Arabidopsis thaliana: one gene and its partners. The protein of the gene in region 3 purifies or fractionates together with the protein of the main gene of each other region. This does not show direct contact. Each region holds a gene or a part of one and is shown on either strand. Other genes may lie near its edges.

Region 1 (6,062 bases), about 11 Mb from region 3:
CTCCTTGGTTGAGTACATATGATACTGGAAAAAGCTCCACGGTTTGCTTCAATCTCGGATTCTAAAATAAACTGCGGGATTTGTGTGGTCTTGCCGCAACCTGTTTCTCCAGAGATAACAATAACCTGCAATACGAAAATTTATGTGGGTAATCGGAACTAATACAAAACCAAGACGACCGTCAAGTTGATATTCGATTTTCTATTTGACACAGATGTCACACGACTGAGCTCAAGCATGCTTCCAGTTATCTTCTGTGCAGACCTGATTTTGTGAAATAGCTGTCAATACTGAATGCCTTTGCTTGAAAGCAGGGAGACTTGTACGAGAATCCAACATTCTTTGGCCTTCTACGGATGCCTAATCAATGGAACACATCAAAACTAAATGGACGATGAAAAAGCATAGATGAAGAATATATTAAGGACCTAATATAAACAGAACCTGCCAATATTGTTGTCGATCACGCAGCTGCAAACTCCTTTGCCAAAGAATTTTGGTGGCAGAGATGGGTAGTGGTTGCTCAGAAAACCATTCATCAGTACTGCTAATGCTACTAGTTCTTGAGACGGAATTGGCAGGGACTCTATCTATCCTATTAGAGCTTTTACTGAGGTATTCTGTGAGGTAAGCTTCAACTCTTTGAAGAAGGTCAGTATGCAAATTCACCTGTAAATATTTTTGTATATATCTGCTCTTTAAAGAAAAACAAGCCGTCTTGCGTTAAGTGTAAGAGAAGAGAGTGAGGAGCAGCGGATAATACCTCCCTCTGTGGCTTCTTGTCATCTAAATCAAACCTATAGTTGGGGAGTGGGATCTTACTGAAGACAACAACCTTAGCATATGCATGACTGCAAAAAAGAAACAGAAATGGTTGTACTAGTGAGAAAGAAGAAAGAAAGGAGCAGCATGATTGATGTACCTATACAATCCCAGGGTTGTAGCCAGAGCAGCAAGTTTATCAAAATCCCGTCTATCTTTTTTCTCCCTGGAAATAACTTCTTGCTTTAAAGAATCTTTCAAAAGCATTGAAAATCTCTTATTCCAATCATCCAAGTCGGCACAGTGAAAGGTACCCTCCTGCTGCAAATTGATATGGTTCCAGTAGAAAGATAAAGGGATTTTTATAAAATGCTACTCGAGAGCAAATCGAAAACTAGAATCGCCATTGTAAGAGCATCAATCAAAAAGCTCAGAGATGCATGAAAAAAAGATGAAGAAGAAGTTAACCGGTTGGCGATCCTCGGAAACGCGGTCATCATAAGCGGAGACATAGCGAACTGGAGAGAGAGGAACAGGATTGAAGCCGTAATCGGAACCAAGGCGCTGGTGAGGCGGAACGTACAGCGAAGGAGGAAGACGATTCGTCATCGGAGCCAAATTCAAAACTCTAAACTCTCTCTACTGTAAGTCAAAAGTAAACTATAAAGAGGGAGAGAGATCTCCGCTGCTTCTTCTAACACTGAACTTGCAACTATGCCAATTTTACCTAATCGCCCTCCAAAAATTTTGTAAACTTAAAAGAAGAATTACACAATTTGGTTTTGCAGTCAAACAGTAATCAGTCTTTCTGAGAGGAAATATAGATTTAAGAGGATGTTTTCACGTTGCTCACATACATATATGATATGATCGTGACTCGTGACTGTCTTTCTTTCTCAGAGACAAAACAAAAAAGGGAAAAAAAAACAAAAGACAACAATGGTCCTTAATCCTTATTACGATCTCTGAAATTAACAAATCAGTAGGTGTAACCCTTGACAAACATTCCTTTCTTGGCATCCTCGTTCTCTCCCTCGGCTGAGTATTTGCCGAGCTGGGCCAGTGAGTTGGCCTTTGCCCTCACCAACAGTGCCTTCTGCGAGGCCTCAATCTTCTCCGGCTTGCCTTGCCATGTTCTGAGCACGGAGTTCTGCAGGGCACGTGCGTATGAGAAGGACACATGCCATGGGTTTGGGCTCTGGTTCATGGCGTTCAGGTTCAGTGTGGCCTCTGCCTCTGATTGTCCTCCTGACAGAAACATGATCCCTGGGACAGCCGGAGGAACCCTCCTTTTCAGCATGGTGAGCGTGAAATCTGCAACGGTCTCGGGAGAGGCCTTGTTCTTGTGCTCAGCGCCTGGGGTGACCATGCTCGGCTTCAACAGAATGCCCTCAAACATGACGTTGTTCTGTGCCAAGTAGAAGAACACCTCTGACCACACTTTCTCTGCCACCTCCAGAGTCCTCTCTATTGGGTGGTCCCCGTCCAGAAGGATCTCTGGCTCCACAATGGGGACAAGACCATTATCCTGAGAGATGGCTGCATAGCGAGCCAGCCCCCACGCAGCTTCCTTCACAGCCAGTGCTGAAGGACCGCAGGGAACACTCACCACTGTCCTCCTAGACAAACACACACAAACATCAAAACTAGGAAGAGCATTTTCACATCAAACCAAAGAGTTAATACCATATGTAAGATAACATGGTGAAATATATGACATACCACTTGGCAAAACGAGCGCCTTGCTTGTAGTACTCAGCAGAGCGTGAGGCCAATCCATCCAAGCCTTGGCACCAAGACTCTTCGTTGGAACCGGCTAGGGGAGACAAGCCCTACGCGGTGGATTGCATTGTCAACACTTCACTCAACACACATAAAAACTCAACTACTTATGATGATGATGACAGAATAAATGGATAAAAAATACCTTGTCAACTTTGATGCCAGGGACGATGTTGGCATCGCGCAAGCAATCGACAAAGGTCTTACCGTCCTTGGTGGACTGGTAAAGAGTCTCCTCGAAGAGAATGGAACCAGAGATGTAATCGCCGAGGCCAGGAGTGGTAAGCAGAAGTTGCCTGTAGGCCTGACGGTTGTCCTCGGTGTTATCCAAGCCGATAGAAGCAAGCCTCTTCCCACAGGTTGCATTGGACTCATCGATCGCCAAGATACCTCTCCCAGGGGATGCAATGCTTTTCTATTACGCAATAATCAGAGAATCTCACTCTACGTTTGACTTTGAGAATTACGGAAACGAATCCAAACTAATAAAGCATCAAAGAGAGAGAGAGGATAAGGAGGATACTCACGGCGGTTTTAACAAGCTCGTCGGAGTAAGCACCGGCGCGGATCGCGAAGGAGACTCGAGGAGGAGGAGAAGAAGAAGCAGAGGTGTGAGCAAAGGAGCGTTGGCCGATCCATGGAGAAGAGAGGGTGTTAGGCTTAACGAAGCTAGCAGACGCCATAGGTAGTACAAGGAAGGTACAAAAGTGATGGTGATCAATCTCTCGGGGACTCCGCGGGACAGAGACAGAGAGAGATCTGGGATTTGGAGGAGAGTGTTAAAGCCAAAGGTTTTGTTTACTACTATTAGTAGTCGTCTACTTTGGCATCACCTACTCCCACCACCAAAAAGCCTCCTTCTCTTTACCATTTTATTCCCCAATTTACCGTAAATGACGCTTTTAACCTTGAGGGAGATACTGGTAATTTTTTCTAGTAGTTCATCAGTCTCTCAACAACAAGAATCTGAGAATAACCAAAACTCTACCGTTTCGTCTACCCAAACTATCCTTCTCCTACCATTGCCTCTTCGTCTAACTCAATCGTTTTTCTTAATTAATCAAATTACATGACCTATCACCTCTTCAAGGAGTGTGATGAAAGAGAATGGGCCGGATATTCCCTTTTTTATCTGTTGGGCCACAATAGTAAACAACTTATATAACAGGCAAACTCTTTTACGTAATTGATTTTTGGGCCCAATAGTAATAGGGCTTAGTTTCAGATAAACAATAAGAGCCCACGACAGCTTTGGTGTTCTTGGGTCTTTTTCTTTTTTTTTTTCCTTTTTATTAAGGCAACCATCCAATAAGTCCAAATATTGGTGTTACTCGTAACAGGCGAGGAAGGTGTAAACAAGAAGAGAGAAAATGCAAGTTCCGAGAAACGTTATATATATGCGACATGAGAAAGTGGCAACTTTTTCTTTCTTGTATCTTACACTACTTTTTTGTATTTTTAAAGTATCTTTGATTTGATAACAGTTTTCTAAAACTGTTGGCCACAATTTAAATGCATATTCATATGTATGTTCAAATTTACAGCAACTCAGTTTGACCCCACAAAAAAAGGGAAAAACAACAACAAAATTCAAGACTATATGACTAAATATGTTCAAGTGCTTCAATTATATATTAGGTACAAGAATATGAATATAATGCCAATCTTATCTTAATCAGAGTAGGAACTAGTAATTTTCATATTTTAAGACAAGTTTGAAAGTTGTTTTAATTAAACATGCGTAAAGTTCCATTCTCTGCTCTCAGATGAATGGCATATCGATCATAATTCACCTAGTACTTCTTCTAGAGTGTTCTACGCTGCCTCTACGTATTAGAATATAGTATATGTAAAAGGTGTTGGTGCAGATCTTTGATTAACACTTTGGTCAGTCACATATCTAATGATTTTTAAACGATAAACCCCAAAACGCGTCTTCATACAGTTCACATGCATATGTCACCCAGAAGAATTGACTCTCAGATCTTTCTAGGTGTTTGTGTTCACACTTCGCCACGCTCTCTCTGTTAGAAACGATTTAAATATACAAACAAAGCTAGTCAGTGTTTCCCATTCGAAAAAAGAGAAAAGACAAAAGAGAGTGTGTTATTTGTCTTGTAATGAAACCTATTGAGTATGGTTGACTGGTTGGTGCGTAGGGAGAAGCAGAAGGTGATAGGACCACGTTGTTGTTTATTTGGCAATTCTTTTACAAGCCCTTGGTCCTGTTTTCTCCATCTTCTCTACTTCATTTGTCATTTTCATTGTTTACTTATTAAATTTACATCCATGTTAACTATTTTCATTTAAACAACAACGTACGTGGACCTATCGACTGATCATCCCTTGGTCGACAAACAATGATGGATCGGAACTTGATTTGGTTTTCTTGAGTTATGTGAAAAAGCATCGCATTATCAATTTTAACAACTTTTCTATAGCTCTTAATTCTGTCTAGCTAATAGACCTATAGTTTCTAAAACAAATACTATAGTCTTGCAAGCCGCATGCTACCTAATGCAGTATATATTTGGATAATTTCAAATTGTCTTTATTATTTCCTCATATTTTTATTTAATTATTTAGATAATTTTTATTTATTGTTTTATGAATTTTCTAAAATTTTGGATTTATTATAATTAAGACTTTTGAACTTAAAATTGTATTCAGTTAATTGATTAATAAAATTAAGCTTTTACCTTTTCAGAGAAGAGTATTCTCTAATTCCTTGCTTTCGGTAGATCTTGAAAGATTTCAACGGTTATAAAAAGATGTAGGATTCGGTATTCGAAGAGAATCAACGAATTCCTTACGTTCTCTCGTTTCTGTTATTCTGAGGAATCAACAGATCCAAAAAATTCTAGTTTTCTGGTATTCCGAGGAATCAACGGATGTCTAGTTCTATCCATTAAAACTTCCGCTACTTCAGTTGGTATCAAAGCTAGAACTAGAGATTCGTTGATACACTTAACAAACAAACAAAAAAAACTTAAAATCAAAATTTGACACACACACCAAAATGAGTTACCTTTTACTCATTCATGTTCATACTATATAAAATATATTTTCGTCGAAACAATCACTCCTCCTAAAATATTTTAAATTTTTAATGCAAAAAATATTAGTTGTGTTTTGTTTATTTTATAATAAATGATTTAATCATATAAACAACGAGGATCGATAAGACACTCGCATGCTATTTTTACCAGGATTACATTAGAATGAGAGTCACAACCACATAATGAAGACGATCGTCTGCTAGCTATGTGACGAGAGATGGTAAGTGGTTTCAGATTTTATGATGTAAAGTGGAAGGAGTGGTCAAATAATTAGGTCAAAGAGAGTCGAGGTGGTTGTCACTGGTTGGCTATATCGATGACTAAACCACACACCTACACCTTCAATTTCTATTTTAATTATGTTTTCTGAATAACTTAATACTATCTTATATGATCGTTAGTAACAAATATTTTTTTAAAAAAAATTTATGTACATTCATAGGTAGCACGAAGTGAACA
Region 2 (6,229 bases), on a different chromosome or scaffold from region 3:
TTTTTAATTCGCAAGTTGATGAATACTGATGGAGGCCGAGGATGATGAGCTCATCAATCATAACCAACAATCTCTCCAACAAATGTTTAGTAAATAATGATATTAATATTTGCAATAAAATGCAAAGAAAACTCTCAGTGCCTCCACACCAAAAGCCTCCACGCTTTCAAACTATTAATTTCAGTTAAGTTGAATAGTGTTAAGTGTTAACTATGGAGAATTGTTTGTTCAATTATTTGATCATTCCATCCACTTGTTTTATTATTTATATCTAGTTTCTTTTATTTTTCAATATCATTTGTAAGTAGCATTAAAAAAATTGAATAAAAATATATACACTTTTTGGACAGCAAGCTCTCTCACTTTTCCTCATTGGTGCTATTTTCGGATATGCTGCAAAAACAACAGAGACAAAATCGTAGATACAAATGTGTTAAGAGGCGCACAACATGAATATTAAATTTTCCCAATACGCTTTTACGTGTAACTCTGAGATATGGTGGCAGCTCGGCCACTAAGGATTCATTTGATAGTTTCAAAGAAAAGCACGCAAAAAAAATCATAGACGTACGTAAGCGGAACACAGAGTCCAGATAGAGTGCAGTTTATTCATATAATCATATTGCATATTTTGACGGAAAAAAAATAAAATCATATTGCATATTTTTCTTCAATTAAAAAATAAATGGGAATTGGCCAATTGGGATATCGACTTACTTTTGGTTATGTGGTTTTCGTCAAACAAAATAAATGGGGAAAGTGAAAATATGTGTAAGCTGTTTCTTTTTTTTTATAACTATAGTAGTAATCGAATCGTTTATTGTTCTTTAGAAAAATAGTATACGAAAAAACGAGAGAATCATTAGGGCTACAATTATAATTATACAAAACCCACTCTATTCCTTAGAGTTTGACCCCACAAGTTTCCTTCGTATTTGGAAAAGACATTAATATTTTTTAAAAATAGCCAACGACGATGACCCACCAACACCACTCTCCATTATTTTAAATTTAATACACCAAAAGTATTACGTAACTTATATAAATTTTAAACCAGATTTTATTGAAGAAATTTAATTACAGTTTTATTCGTCTAAGATCTCGAAGAAATTTTTCTGCAACCATTGATCGATATTCGTCAGATTCTCTTAACTGAAGTAAAAGATGGTTTTCTGTTACTTATTTAACATTTTCTTATTTTTCATATAATATAGTTTTTCTCATTACATAACATTTAAGGCAACATTATAACATTTTCATCGAAATTAAGATCTAACATTAAAGAACCTGCACAATGTAATATGGACAAAACCTCTTAAGCCTAGCAAGTCTTTTGCAGAAATGAAGTTTGAAGATACCAAACAACACATCATCTCTTTCATAATCTCTCCTTATGTGTAATATTGGTCTGCACTTTATGTGGTCATGGACTTAGTCTTGACGCCAATCTTCTTCCAGGAAACACTAGGCATGATTTGTTTCGTGTCCACACGATCTTTAAACTGAACAGCAAAGTTGAGCAACGAATCAAGAAGTGAGTCAGATAGATAGTGAGGCTCAAGTCCAAGTTCCATCAGCTTAGTGTGCTTTGCGTTGTAGTAATGTTCTTCTGCCTCCACTCTCGGGTTAGGCACCGTCATCTTTTTCACGTCTAGCCCAAGCTTTGAACCCGCTTTAGTGACGAGTGAAGCCAGTTCATTGACTGAAAACTGTTCTGTAAATTGGTTGAAGACCCGGAACTCACCAGCTTTTGCCGGGTTTGCTATAGCGATCTCAACACATTGAACCGTGTCTCTTATATCGAGGTAGCCTCTCGTCTGCAAAGGGAAAAACTTCAATCAAAACCTCAAATTTTTCGATTGAAATTTCATGTGAAAACAGATCAAGAAAGTCATTTACCTGACCACCTTTACCATAAACTGTAAGTGGGTGACCAACAGCAGCTTGCACACAGAACCGGTTAAGTGCTGTACCAAACACAGCATCGTAATCCAGTCGGTTACGGAGTTCCTCATGCATCTCTGTCTCATCAGTCTTCACTCCATAAACAACTCCTTGGTTGAGATCAGTGGCTCTAATACCCCAAGCCTTGCAAGTAAAAGCAATGTTGTGCGAATCATGAACTTTGCTAAGATGATAAAAGGAGCTAGCTTGCTTGGGGTATGGCAAAGTGTCAGTTCTACCGTTGTGGGTTATGGTTATATAACCTTCCTCGATGTCAATATTTGGAGTTCCATACTCACCCATCGTCCCAAGTTTTACAAGATGACACTCCTCTCCAAACTCTTTTATAGCAAAGAGAACGTTGAGAGTCCCAATCACATTGTTGTGCTGTGTATAAACTGCTCTGGACCGGTCAATCATCGAGTAAGGAGCGGATCTCTGTTCCCCAAAGTGGACAACTGAATCCGGCTCAAAAGACTTGAAAGACTCAGCTAAGAATTCGAAATCACAGATATCACCAACGTACAACTCAATTGATTTCCCTGTCAAAGCCTTCCATCGGCTGATTCGGTCATGAATGGAGGCAATAGGAGTCAATGACTCAAGTCCAAGCTGGTGGTCGAAAAGACGTCTTACAAGGTTGTCAACAATGCAAACTTCGTAATTCTTCTTGGACAAGTGGAGAGCAGTAGCCCAACCGCAATAACCATCTCCACCAATGACCATAACACGCTTTGGTTTAGAGGATGAGTTATTGGTAGATGTTTCGGGTGGTGCTTGTTGGGTTATAGGTACAGCAGTTGCTCTGAAAACGCAGCTTTTTCTCGGTTTCTTCTCTTGGAAGAGAAGTCCTTTGAGAGAAGATCTTGAAAGAAGCTGAGCATTGAAGAAGGTCTGCCCTGAAACAAACGGCTTAACTGAATTCTTGCTGCTGCTGCTGCTAAGTGAGATAACTGAAGGGCATGAAGCTGAAAGTAGATGCGCCATTTTAAAGGTTTGTTCTTGATTCTATCAAACAAATTCACCTGCAAAAACAAAAGCAGCTAAGATTTCAAGACATAATTTGGTTCAGCAGAACAAGACATATCAAGTAGATGTTTCATACCATATAACAAGTAAGGATTCAGCTGATTTTCTCTAGTTTAACTTCAAATTCAAATCAAAATCCAAAAAGACATGAATAGAAATCGAAACTTTATCTTCACACCCCCCCCCCTAAATCAGCTACGTCCATAACAAGAGAAGAATCAAAACACACGAAATTTGAAGTCTTTTATCGAATCTGAAAATCAGCTATTGTCAAAGACTGGATATTTATTTGATCAACTAAAGTAAATGTAAGAAAGAAGTACATTGATGAAATTCAGAGAAAACCCAACTGAATGAAAACTCTGTGAATTTTGATTTCCTATCATATTCAGAGTTTCTTCAAAACGAAATCACTCAACTTACAAAACCGGAGAAATGAAATTCATTAGAAGAAACGATTGCTTACCTTTGAAAATTTGGAATCTTGTTTAGAGAGAGTTGGAGAAGATCCTTCGAGACTTTGAACTTTGAAGTGAGGGATGGGTCTCTCTTCTCTTCTCCCGGAACGATGAGAGATGAGATGAGACAGATATAAATCATCAGATATGCCCAAAGCATATTCTTACTTATTCCCTTCCCAACAAATTATGGCCCAAAGTGTCGCTTTTTTAAGAACGTTGGTTTATTAGTTTTAAAGTTTTCCGGTTGTGAATGATACAGGTCCGGCCTTTGTGGGCCAGTTTCTCAGTCGCTCATTTAGGCAACTTAAGGAACATTCTTCCCTTACTGGGCCGGTTGGCCCAAATATATACTTTTTGAATATGTTTGTGGCTATTTTCTAAATTTTAACTTTTAATTATTAAAACAGAGAATCATGAGATAGGAGAAAAACAAAATCAACTGTAAAATGCAAACCTAACTTACATAATCTTTTGAATGAAATTTTATTAAGACGCAAAACATTACTAGTATTTCGCATTGTAATAGTCATTTTTCTGCAAGTTGACCAAACAAGAGTCATACTTCTGATGCAAGATACGAACAAAGACTTCAATTATAACAAAACATTCTCATACATCTCATCTCTAATTCTATATTTGTTTTCTCGTAGTTATTATCTTCCAAACTTTAATATTCTTGTCAATGAGGGTACTAGATGAAAATGACGACATTCTATGGTCATTTGATTCCCGTGAACCTCATGTGACCTTGTTAACGTACGTGCACGCACACACAAACCCTCGCACTGATTGACATTCTCCCAATCTTTCTTTATAAAACACACAGACAACTCCATAATATTAATAACCCATATATACTTAGCTTGCTGGTTTCCTTGGCAATAATTTATATAATTCTACAAGTTTAATCGCCTAATCGGATTTAGTAAATGTCTCTCTTACAGGTCTGAAACTTCTTCCACTTCATCTATTTAATGTTATTTTGCTTCTTCAATCCTGTTTCCTCACATAATTTTGCCTCATAATGTTTTCAGGATTTTTGGCAGTTTCTTCGACCATTATCATCTGGTTTGACAGGTATTGTCACTTCAAATCTCAAAGCAATTACTTCATTTCGCTCTTAAACACACTTAAATGCAAATTTTGAGATTTTCTTAGCAAAGTTAACTCAATTTATTTTTGCATGTAACAAAACAGAGTCGTTCACAACTAGCTGTGACTCGGGCGACTCAGACCCGTGCCGAGATGACGCAGCTGCTCTTACCCTCAAGTTCGCAGCTATGGCGTCGATCCTTATCTCCGGAGCTGCCGGAGTCTCGATTCCTCTAGTTGGAACCCTACTTCCGTTAAACGGTGGCTTAATGAGGGGAGCCAAAGCGTTCGCAGCAGGAGTTATCCTCGCAACAGGGTTCGTTCACATGCTCTCGGGCGGATCCAAAGCTTTGTCCGACCCATGTCTGCCGGAGTTTCCATGGAAAATGTTCCCTTTTCCAGAATTCTTCGCCATGGTCGCGGCGCTTCTTACTCTGCTCGCGGATTTCATGATCACGGGATACTACGAGAGGAAACAGGAGAAGATGATGAACCAGTCCGTCGAGTCGCTTGGTACGCAAGTTTCGGTTATGTCTGACCCAGGTCTTGAATCGGGTTTTCTGAGAGATCAAGAAGATGGAGGGGCGTTGCATATCGTGGGGATGCGGGCTCACGCGGAGCATCACCGTCATAGCCTCTCCATGGGTGCCGAAGGTTTTGAGGCTCTCTCTAAGAGAAGTGGTGTTTCCGGTCATGGACACGGCCACAGCCACGGCCACGGGGACGTAGGCTTGGACAGTGGTGTGAGGCACGTTGTTGTTTCTCAGGTAAACGACCTTTTTCTTTTCTTCATATGTTTTTTGACTTTGACTTTGTTTTTCGTAAGCTCTGACTTTTAAGTTTTGAGTTCTTTAATGCTAATAAGATTTATTTATTTCAAATGCAGTTGACTTCATTCATATACAATGTAGCCAAGTCAATTGGATGAATTCTAATAACTGTACATGACTTGCATAAGCTGTTTTAGAGTTGTTATAGTAATCAACTATAAAGTTTTACAATGCCAAGTTTAGTTAGTTGCTAATCACTATATAGATTTTGTTATTGAAAAAAATAATAAAATTTATTTTATTGCTTGTTTAAGTAATTATTTAATGTTATCTTCGTAACTATTATATATAGTACTACTTCATGTTCATTCTACCAAAACATTATTAATATGAAAACGAAAAAATAAGATAATTCTAAAATATCATACTATTATTTAAGTTTTCTTCCAAAGATACAAATGACGACTTAAACGCATTGTGGAAACATTTTTTTTTTTTGGTGTGTGTGTGTGTGTTAATATATTTTGACGTTATGTGACTTAGTCAAACCAATCCGTTTATATAATTTCCTTGTATAGTGTCGATGCACAAAATCAATTGATGATACCCTTATATTTTTGTATTCAGATACTTGAAATGGGAATAGTGTCACATTCAATAATCATAGGAATATCGCTTGGAGTATCACATAGCCCATGCACCATACGTCCTCTCCTTCTCGCTCTTTCCTTCCACCAATTCTTCGAAGGTTTTGCCCTCGGTGGCTGCGTCGCAGAGGCCAGACTAACCCCGCGTGGATCTGCCATGATGGCTTTCTTCTTCGCCATCACTACTCCGATCGGTGTAGCGGTGGGAACGGCCATTGCCTCATCTTACAACTCTTATAGCGTTGCAGCATTGGTGGCTGAAGGAGTGCTCGATTCTCTCTCTGCG
Region 3 (9,306 bases):
TTCGACAATTGTTTATGTTTTTCTGTCGGACGTAACGGTTTTAAGAATCGAGAAAACTTTCTTGATTTAGGGTCCTTGCATCTATCATTCGTGTTTGCCTTTTTGAGACGAATCATGTGCATGCGAGTCAGATGATCTGACAACTGACAAACAGAGAATCCGATGTTTAAATATTTAGTTTCCGCAAAATTTGGAGATGACTTATGAAACTCATAACTCTTGACCGATCAATCTTAATGTGTCTTATTGATTACCGTTGTCGTTATTAATTATGGTTGGATAAATGAACACATGGAAACCCTAATCTCTATTATAGGTATAGAGTGACATCGTATTAATTAATAACAATTCGATAATTGTTTATATATGTCTGTCAGACCTAACGGTTTTGAGAATCTAGAAAACTTTTTTTATTTAGGGTTCTTGCGTCTATCACTAGTGTTTGTCTTTTTGAATCAAGCCACATATGCTTTACAAGGTTGATTTGTTCTTAAGAGAAATGTCAGGTGCTCTAAAATAGTGATAAAGCGTAGGATAGATGAGTTGTTTGCTAGAGAGGTAACCGAACAGGGCTCGATGAGAATATGCTCCTTTAATCACCTTTCGGAAGAAAAAAAAAAACAAGCATTAGTATATAGGATAGGAAAAAATCATTATGAGGTTGGTCCTCTCAAAGATTCAGTGAGAGTCTAGTTAGAATGAATTAATGTGGCTATACAGAAAATCTATTTTCTGTGAGGAAATACAGGTTTTGGTTCAAGGACTTAGGGCATCTCTAATGATGACCTCTATATTTTCCTCTATTTATAGAGGTGACCATTGGAGATGGTTTTAGTATAGGTGATCTAATGTCCAATCTGATATTTAGTAGAATAATGCTACAAGTCTGATTAGTGGCAATTGAAAAAATTAGCAGAAACATAAGAGCATCTCCCATGTCCTACCTTTATTTTTTTTCACTATTTTAGAGTTGATTTTGTTCCAATGTGTGTCTCTAAAATAGAAAAGATTAGCATTGGTTAGAACTGCTTTTTGTTTTTTTTTGGCCAAAATGTAGAAAAGTGAAATTAAATTTTAACTCTACCAAGTTCCTAGTTTTCTTTGGAAAGGAAGTTCAAGTTGGTATTAAGCTTTTTTTTATAAAAAAAAATCTAACTCTACCCAAAGGAGAGAGAAAAAATAACTACTTCAAAATTTAGATTCCTTTCCTTTAATATTTGGTTGTTTCTTTCACTAAATTTTTTTGTCTCCTTCACTTCCACTTTTTACTCTACATGCAACCATTCAGAACCTATATGTTGTCAGTCAGTTTGTTTATAAAACCTAGAATTATGGTTATTTTGCCAAATTTCCTAATTATAAAATGAAACAATAAATATCCTAAGAATTCAAACTTTTTTCAAAGAGATCATATGGCATAAATATAACCACGATGGTGATCACATCATCCAAATGGAATGTTATACGTATAAGAAAGTGGAACATAAAGAAATGTATTTTATTAAATAAATGAGGGAAGAACTTAGGACTACGTATGTACATTGTACAGGAAGTGAAAGTGAAAGTGATGATGAGGCTGGGAAGAGAAGTAAAAGCCAGTAAAGATACGTTTCTGGATCCGGTATGAGTCCGAATCGCCCCATTGTGGGTTTTGGTGCGAGTGCGAATCGCTTCATAGTGGCTTCATTTAAGCAGACACTGCAGCTGCAGCCTGTTCTTCGTTCGCCGGTTGGAGAGTGCACACCAGATTACGGTCTCCATACACGTTGTCCACTCGCCCTGTTTCACACATATTTAATACATTTTGAAACGATTTACAAATAACAAATTGTTTTCTATGGGAAATGCCACCCCTAGTTTTCAAGTACCTGTAGTGGGCCAGAACTTGGAGGAGCGGAGCCATGGAGCGGGGAAGGCTGCGTATTCCCGTGAATACGGCTTTTTCCATGTATCTGCCATTAGCAATGACGGAGGATGTGGAGCACCCTGTGTGTGTTTGTTTTTTAAAGTTCATTAGTATCAGACTAGAGGGCTAGTCCGAACTGAAATTGTGGTCTCAAATTTTTTCTTACCTTCAGAACGTTGTTGTTTGGATCTGCGTTTCCTTTCTCAATCTGTGAAATCTCTTCCCTGATCGAGATGAGAGCATCACAGAACCTATCTAACTCAGCCTGAAATATTACATATATATATACAAATTATGAAGCCATGTTTTAGAGACTGAGAGCTGAGTCAGTGAGAGATTTGCAATGCAATGCAAGACATAATTACCTTGCTTTCGCTTTCGGTTGGCTCGATCATAAGCGTTCCAGGGACAGGCCAAGACATTGTCGGTCCATGGAAACCATAATCCATCAATCGTTTGGCCACATCCTCTGGTTCAATTCCAGCAGTGTTCTGAGGACATTGAACAAGACATTGATTTAGCATGTACAACCAAAAAACAGAGCATTTACTCAAACGAGATAAAGAAACATACCTTGAATCCTCTCAAGTCAATGATGAATTCGTGAGCGACTGTTCCATTGACACCACGGAAAAGAACTGGGTAGTGGCTCTGAAAGACAAGAAAGCATAAGTGAGGTTGCACAAGAGAAGAGACGTTCACTCTCTTTAAAGAGTTGTCAAGATAAGATAAGGTACCTCCAGACGCTTTGCCATGTAGTTAGCGTTCAAAATTGCAATCTTTGAGGCATCGGTGAGTCCTCCAGATCCCATCATGGCAATGTAAGTATACGAGATTGGCAAGATAAGCGCAGACCCCCATGGTGCTGCAGAAATGGTTCCCAGCGGTGATGTCTGCTCGGGTTCAGGGATACCACCGGTAGGTATCTGTAGCAGAGTAAACAGAATGAGTACAAAAAAGCAGATAACTCAATCATTGAGAAAGATGGATTAGCGATCATAACATATAAGAATTAACACTAACCACTGGGTGAGAAGGTAGGAATGGAGCCAAATGTTGCTTCACACCGATAGGGCCCATTCCGGGACCTCCACCTCCGTGAGGGATACAGAAGGTCTTGTGGAGATTGAGATGGCAAACATCCGCTCCAATAAAACCAGGGCTTGTCAAACCCACCTGGAAGTTCCAAAAACTTTCTCAAATTCACAACTTTTGGATTCTTCAGTCAACATACCAGCAGAGAAACCATACCTGTGCATTCATATTAGCACCATCCATATAAACTTGGCCTCCATTTTCATGAATTATGTTGCAGATCTCGTCGATACCCTCTTCGTAGACTCCATGGGTGGAAGGGTATGTAACCTAATATTCAAACAGAAGTTGTAGAATTAGAAAGTGGATTGACCCAAAAGTGACATTGTTTCATCTATAGTGATGAAAGAAGTAAATACATACCATAAGAGCAGCCAAGTTGTCCTTGTTGGCTTCGGCGGCGTTCCTCAACTCTTCGATGTTAATGTTTCCTTTGGCATCAGTTCCAACGGCAACAATTTTCATTCCGCACATGGCAGCACTAGCAGGGTTTGTCCCGTGTGCAGAAACAGGTATGATGCACACATTTCTGTGATGATCGCCTCTTGACTGCATCATTTATTCACCCATTTACCAAATTTGTTGAAGTGCGAGTTCATATTGGAAAACAAGAAACTACAGGTATGCTTACCATATGATATGCACGGATAACCATGAGCCCGGCGTACTCGCCAGCAGCACCGGCATTAGGTTGCAATGAGAAAGAGTCGAATCCAGTGATCGTACATAAGAGCTCACCCAAATTCGTAAACATTTCCTATAAGTTGTCAAACAAAAAATTCAGTACGTAGTTAAATTTCTAGTCAGGTAAATCAAATATGTGGCCTCACCTGATAACCTTGGGCTTGTTCAACAGGAGCAAAAGGGTGCATGTTGGTGAAACTTGGCCATGTGACTGGCATCATTTCAGTGGTGGCATTCAATTTCATCGTACAAGATCCAAGTGGAATCATGCTGTGGCACAATGATAGATCTTTATTTTGTAACTTGTGGATGTACCTAAGCAACTCATGCTCCGTGTGGTACCTAACCAAATGTAAGAAAAAAGGGAAAGTAAATGTGAGGTACTTAACAATAAGCCACAGGGCAATGAAGGAACCAAGATTTAAAGAAGGTAACATACATGTTGAAGATTGGATGGGTCAGATAAGGGCTCTCTCTTGTTAGGCTAGAGGGAATAGCATTGTTAAACTCCGGTGCAAGAGACTCAGCCGTGAATTGAACCTTGTACATTGGAGAAAACATTATTTTAAGCAAACACGAAAAAAAAGAGTGAACAAGCGAGATGAATGGATATTAGCTTAAAGTAAACTCACGGGCTTGCCCGAAGCAAAAACTTCAAAAAGTTTATCGACATCATCCAAGGTGGTTGTTTCATCGAAAGCAACAGTAATCTTAAAGAACAAGAAAAAAAACCCATCAATGTTAATAATCATATCCAGATATTGAAGAAATATATATATATATATATATATATATATATATATGAAGAAACTCACAGTGTTGGAGTCCACAAGACGCAAATTGATCTCCTTCTTGGCTGCCACATCAAAAATTGCAGTTGCATCTGAACATGTAACTTTGACAGTGTCAAAGAAGGGAAGATCTTGGACTTGTGCAGTTCCCAGTTTCTTCAATCCTAAGGCAAATACACCAGCGAGACCATGAACCCGTTGTGCAATAGATTTTAAGCCTTCTGGTCCATGGTAAACAGCATACATAGCAGTCATATTTGCAAGCAAGGCCTACAATGTAGAAAACGATAATCAATAGCAAAATAGTTTGAAGATGTAAAATATGGTACTGCTCTCTCGGTACCTCTAATTCTTCCCGCTTTTGTTATCACTTATCAGTAATAGTCAAAGCGGTATACACTACATAAATCCTATAGAGTTTGAAGCCATTTTTACCTGAGCGGTACAGATGTTGCTGGTAGCTTTATCCCTGCGGATATGCTGTTCCCTAGTCTGCATAGCCATACGCAAAGCTTGCTTCCCGGAAGAATCAACACTAACACCAATAATCCTCCCAGGCATCATTCTCTTATACTCTTGTGAAGTAGCCAAGAAAGCAGCATGAGGACCACCATAACCCATCGGAACACCAAACCTCTGACCCGACCCAACAACAATATCCGCCCCAAACTCACCCGGCGGTTTCAACATCGTCAAAGCCAACAAATCCGTAGCCATAACAACCTTAACACCATTAGCATGAGCATTCTTAACAAACTCACCATAATCCAACACCTCCCCTTCAGTCCCCGGATACTGAACCAACACTCCACACACATCACCAGAGCTATAATCCACATCCTTAATATCAACCGTCACAACTTTCAAATCGAAACCATCCGCTCTCGTCTTGCAAACATCAATAGTCTGAGGATGACAATTACTAGCAATAACAAACGTCTTCTTCTTCCCCTTTAGAATATTATTACACATCGCCATTGCTTCCGCCGCCGCCGTACCTTCATCGAGCAACGAAGCGTTCGACATCGGTAGACCGGTGAGATCAGTAATAACCGTCTGGTAATTGAGCAGAGATTCGAGTCTTCCTTGAGAAATCTCAGCTTGATAAGGAGTATATTGAGTATACCAAGCAGGATTCTCCATTATATTACGCAAAATCACAGGAGGAACATGAGTGTTATAGTATCCCATACCAATGAACGATTTGAAAACTTTGTTCTTCGAAGCTAAATCACTCATATGCTCAATCATTTGACTCTCCGTTAATCCTTCATCAAATATCCCGGAAAACTTCATCGAATCTAACCGAATCGATTTCGGAACAGTCGAATCAATCAACGTGTTGAGATTATCGAATCCGCAGTAATTCGCCATCTGAGCTTGTTCATCCGGTGTTGCTGAGTTGTGCCGGCGCGGGAAAGTGTCGCTTGGCTTCAACGCATCGACGGAGATCGATCGTGTCTGGTGTTGATTTCTACCGGAGGTGGTAAAAGCCGATCCAGAGACATCACGACGGCGATGGAGAAAGGAGGAGACGGAGGAGACATACCTTGAGGGAGTAACAGTCGTCGTCGGAAGAAGAGAGGATTCGCCGTTACGGTGGCGTTTTGTCTCGTTGACGAGACGTTTCACGATCCCTCTGTAAGCAAGTCTCCTTGCACGCTCCATAACCAAACCAAAAAAAAACAAATGCAAATCTGAGAGAGAGTAGAGAGACACTGAAGAAAATGCTGATTATATATATATATATATATAGATTATAGTTTTGAGGTTGGTAATTATTAATTTAACGTATTTTATTGTGGCTTTGAGATCTGAAGAGGGTTGGTGACTGACAACCACTCAACTCAATAAGCAACTATACAGAAGAAACAAATTTGTTTGCATAGATTCCACGTATTTTGCATCGAAGCAATATGCTGATAAAAAAAAAAAATTATCACCTTTTTCTGGAAAAATTGCGGCTGTAGGATTTTGATATCACTATCTAGAAATTTAAATGTTTGATATGCTAAGGTTTTAAATCGTATAAGAGTTCGAAGGATAGTACGATACATTTATTGCGACTATCGTAGTCATAGTTTTAAGTATATAGTTCATGCAGCCGTTATGGTTATAGAAATTATCAAAATAGTATAGTCAATTCATAGTATAAGTTTTGCAACTGGATACACATCTCTTATACTTTTGTATCATAGAAAATGCTTTAAACCTCGAAGAAAGATTGAATGGAAGAGAATCAAAGTGGAAGAGATTGGAAATATGTGGACGACAATTTTTTTTTTCTTCCATAAATTTGCTTTACAAACAAAACTAAGAAAATATATTGTAAAGAGCTTATGATTATTATGGTTCACATAGTTACATAAATATAGGTGGCAAGATGTGTTTCACATAAAACTTATCTCATCAATGTACGGTTTCTTCGTTGTTCATCATTTGACAACGGAACTATCGTCCTCCAAATATTGCAACTTTTTTTTTTCTAATTAAATTTCATGTTTTTGTTAGTGCGGTTTGGTCGGGGACCCTAGCAAAATATTTCCCATCAACCTAGTAATACCTGTAAAAGAGTTGGCATTTCACAATTGATCACAATAAACATACTTTTTGTGACTCAAATTGATCATTTTATTCATACTTAGTAGTTAGTACATTTAAAACGCGTGGCAGTAAATTGGGTCAAATGATCTATATGTTTAAAGATCTATAAGTAAATTAGGTTACCAAACTAGTCATTCTCTACTACACGCAGAGATGAAAGTTCTAAGCTATGCAAAGTATCAACGGTCGGTCATGACAATCTGGGGTCTAAACCATAAATTATATATTTTGAAATTAATACTCCCTCTATTTCATGAAGTTTGATGTTGTGGGTTTTCACACAAATTAAGAAAAATAACTTTTTATTTTTTTATTATTCTTTTGTTTGTTTAATAATATCAGACACTGCCTTTCTCTTCTCTATATTGGTCACAAATAAAAATACTAATAATATTGATCTAAAACATCAAACTTTTTGGAACAAGAAAAAAAACCTATAACATCAATCTTGATGGAACAGAGGGAGGGAGTATAAACTGTTTTGCAATTTAAGGTTTTTTTCAAATTAAATATTTTTGGGGGCCTATTTACAAATAAATTTTAATGTAATTTTTTGAAAAAAACTATGAGGTCACATACAAATGTTTCATGTTGCTCTCCTCAGGACCGCCCTGAAAATATCCTCTCAAACATAATTGATTGTTAGGTGTTCGAAACAAACAAATTCACTAATGAAATGCATCACATATTCACTAATAAAATCCACATAATTCATCTACTTTCCCCTTTTTGGATAAAAATAAGATAAAAACGAGTGTGTATGTTGCTCAAATATATAAGTCACCATTTCGCCAATAATTTGTCAACGTTTCCGCAAAAGCAATGGATATCACATTTGTTTTTTTCCAACAATTTCTCTAATATATAAGTCACTATTTGATTTGTACCAAAAAAGTGTCACTGTTTGATTTGAAGCCTATATATAAATTTAAAAAAAAAAATAATAATAATAATTATGTTGACAGTGGGATTTGAACCCACGCCCTTTCGGACCAGAACCTTAATCTGGCGCCTTAGACCAACTCGGCCATATCAACATTTTGGTAACCAAATCCACTAAACGGTTTTATCTTTAGAATAATTCTCCTGCAATTTTGACATAGTCTCATGTCTGATTTATCTCCGCTGTATCATAAAATTTGAAACAGTATTTGATGAAAAAAATTAATATAACAAATAAATAGATTGAATTTGATTTCTTTTACAAATGAAACAAGATGTATCATCCATCACCCAGTGCCTATACTGGGCACATAAATCTAATTTTACAAAAAGGGATATTGATGTATCTGTCTATAACATATAGTTTCAGTGTATATATGTGGTACAATCTAACAACAACTATTAAAATCAGATCATGTAAGAACCATGAAGTCATCTTTTCCCTATACAGCTCCAATGATGTCGGAACTCTAGTGCTTGTGGTGAGATCATATATTCCGTAGAACTGTCTCAAGAAGTTTCAAGTGGGGGCAACTCTTGAAACAAACTACTGATCGATGTCATCGGGAGGTAATGTCGGACTCTTGGAGCACATATCCGTCTTATGAAGCTCTTTTAACCGACTCTCCGGGTCACAAAGCCCTAAAGATTTGAGAAGAAAAGCTTGGCTAATTGATTCTTGTGTGACTGCTATTGCTATTATGTGAGAACATATTAATGTTACCTGAGCATTTGGGAATGTCCCAAACTGCTATGGACTTTGGGGAACAATGCGGATCGCATAAAGCGCGGTTGTCTTCGTGATGTACATCCATTGCAAGCATCCAAGATCCGATAGTTACATCTTCATTATTAAACATTCTCAGACTGAAATGAAAAACACCGATAATGAGATTTGCATATCAAAATCTGCTAGTTAGGTACATCAAAAACATTTCAAACCTGCCATTCCTAGCTGCTGCAAGTGAAGCTACTATCTCGGCTGAAAGAACGTATATCGGTCCATAAGCATGTAAAAAGTATTCATTTCCAATCAAATTGCCTTGTTTCTCGTACCTGACAAATTCAGTATCTGTCACCAAAACTGATAAACTCAACAAAGAATTACAGTCACGGATAAAGAGAGGACTAGTTAATACCATTTTAGTTTAGGGTCAGTTATAACTGGTCCTTTCTTCATGCAGCCAATGTATGTCTGTGAATGAAGTCTTTCATTGGCAAGAAGCGTCGCAAGTCGATCTGAACCAAAACAAAAACAAAAGGAATTTGAATACTACTGTGATG

The links.
Region 1: the proteins of GLDP2 (region 3) and PDE345 fractionate together in Arabidopsis thaliana (co-fractionation; one large-scale study listed by BioGRID). This does not show direct contact.
Region 2: the proteins of GLDP2 (region 3) and SQD1 fractionate together in Arabidopsis thaliana (co-fractionation; one large-scale study listed by BioGRID). This does not show direct contact.

The regions. Positions count from the first base shown.
Region 1 is NC_003071.7:93,265-99,326, forward strand, and holds PDE345 (Aldolase superfamily protein), read right to left. Parts: upstream 3,600-6,062; 5' UTR 3,228-3,599; coding exon 3,072-3,227; intron 2,960-3,071; coding exon 2,690-2,959; intron 2,595-2,689; coding exon 2,485-2,594; intron 2,382-2,484; coding exon 1,742-2,381; 3' UTR 1,463-1,741; downstream 1-1,462. Other genes in the region: AT2G01130 (DEA(D/H)-box RNA helicase family protein), read right to left, coding at 1-125, 265-360, 445-669, 764-851, 923-1,083, 1,231-1,371. UniProt on the Arabidopsis thaliana protein: Plays a key role in glycolysis and gluconeogenesis.
Region 2 is NC_003075.7:15,932,753-15,938,981, reverse strand, and holds SQD1 (sulfoquinovosyldiacylglycerol 1), read right to left. Parts: upstream 3,610-6,229; 5' UTR 3,440-3,609; intron 2,970-3,439; 5' UTR 2,932-2,969; coding exon 1,900-2,931; intron 1,818-1,899; coding exon 1,416-1,817; 3' UTR 1,149-1,415; downstream 1-1,148. Other genes in the region: ZIP9 (ZIP metal ion transporter family), read left to right, coding at 4,364-4,378, 4,469-4,511, 4,632-5,293, 5,924-6,229. UniProt on the Arabidopsis thaliana protein: Involved in the biosynthesis of sulfolipids found in thylakoid membranes. Converts UDP-glucose and sulfite to the sulfolipid head group precursor UDP-sulfoquinovose.
Region 3 is NC_003071.7:11,107,643-11,116,948, forward strand, and holds GLDP2 (glycine decarboxylase P-protein 2), read right to left. Parts: upstream 6,650-9,306; 5' UTR 6,145-6,649; coding exon 4,912-6,144; intron 4,747-4,911; coding exon 4,501-4,746; intron 4,396-4,500; coding exon 4,318-4,395; intron 4,226-4,317; coding exon 4,125-4,225; intron 4,028-4,124; coding exon 3,832-4,027; intron 3,759-3,831; coding exon 3,633-3,758; intron 3,551-3,632; coding exon 3,365-3,550; intron 3,272-3,364; coding exon 3,158-3,271; intron 3,083-3,157; coding exon 2,930-3,082; intron 2,833-2,929; coding exon 2,644-2,832; intron 2,558-2,643; coding exon 2,480-2,557; intron 2,398-2,479; coding exon 2,272-2,397; intron 2,172-2,271; coding exon 2,073-2,171; intron 1,987-2,072; coding exon 1,869-1,986; intron 1,780-1,868; coding exon 1,688-1,779; 3' UTR 1,361-1,687; downstream 1-1,360. Other genes in the region: AT2G26100 (Galactosyltransferase family protein), read right to left, coding at 8,570-8,664, 8,747-8,889, 8,965-9,078, 9,162-9,261.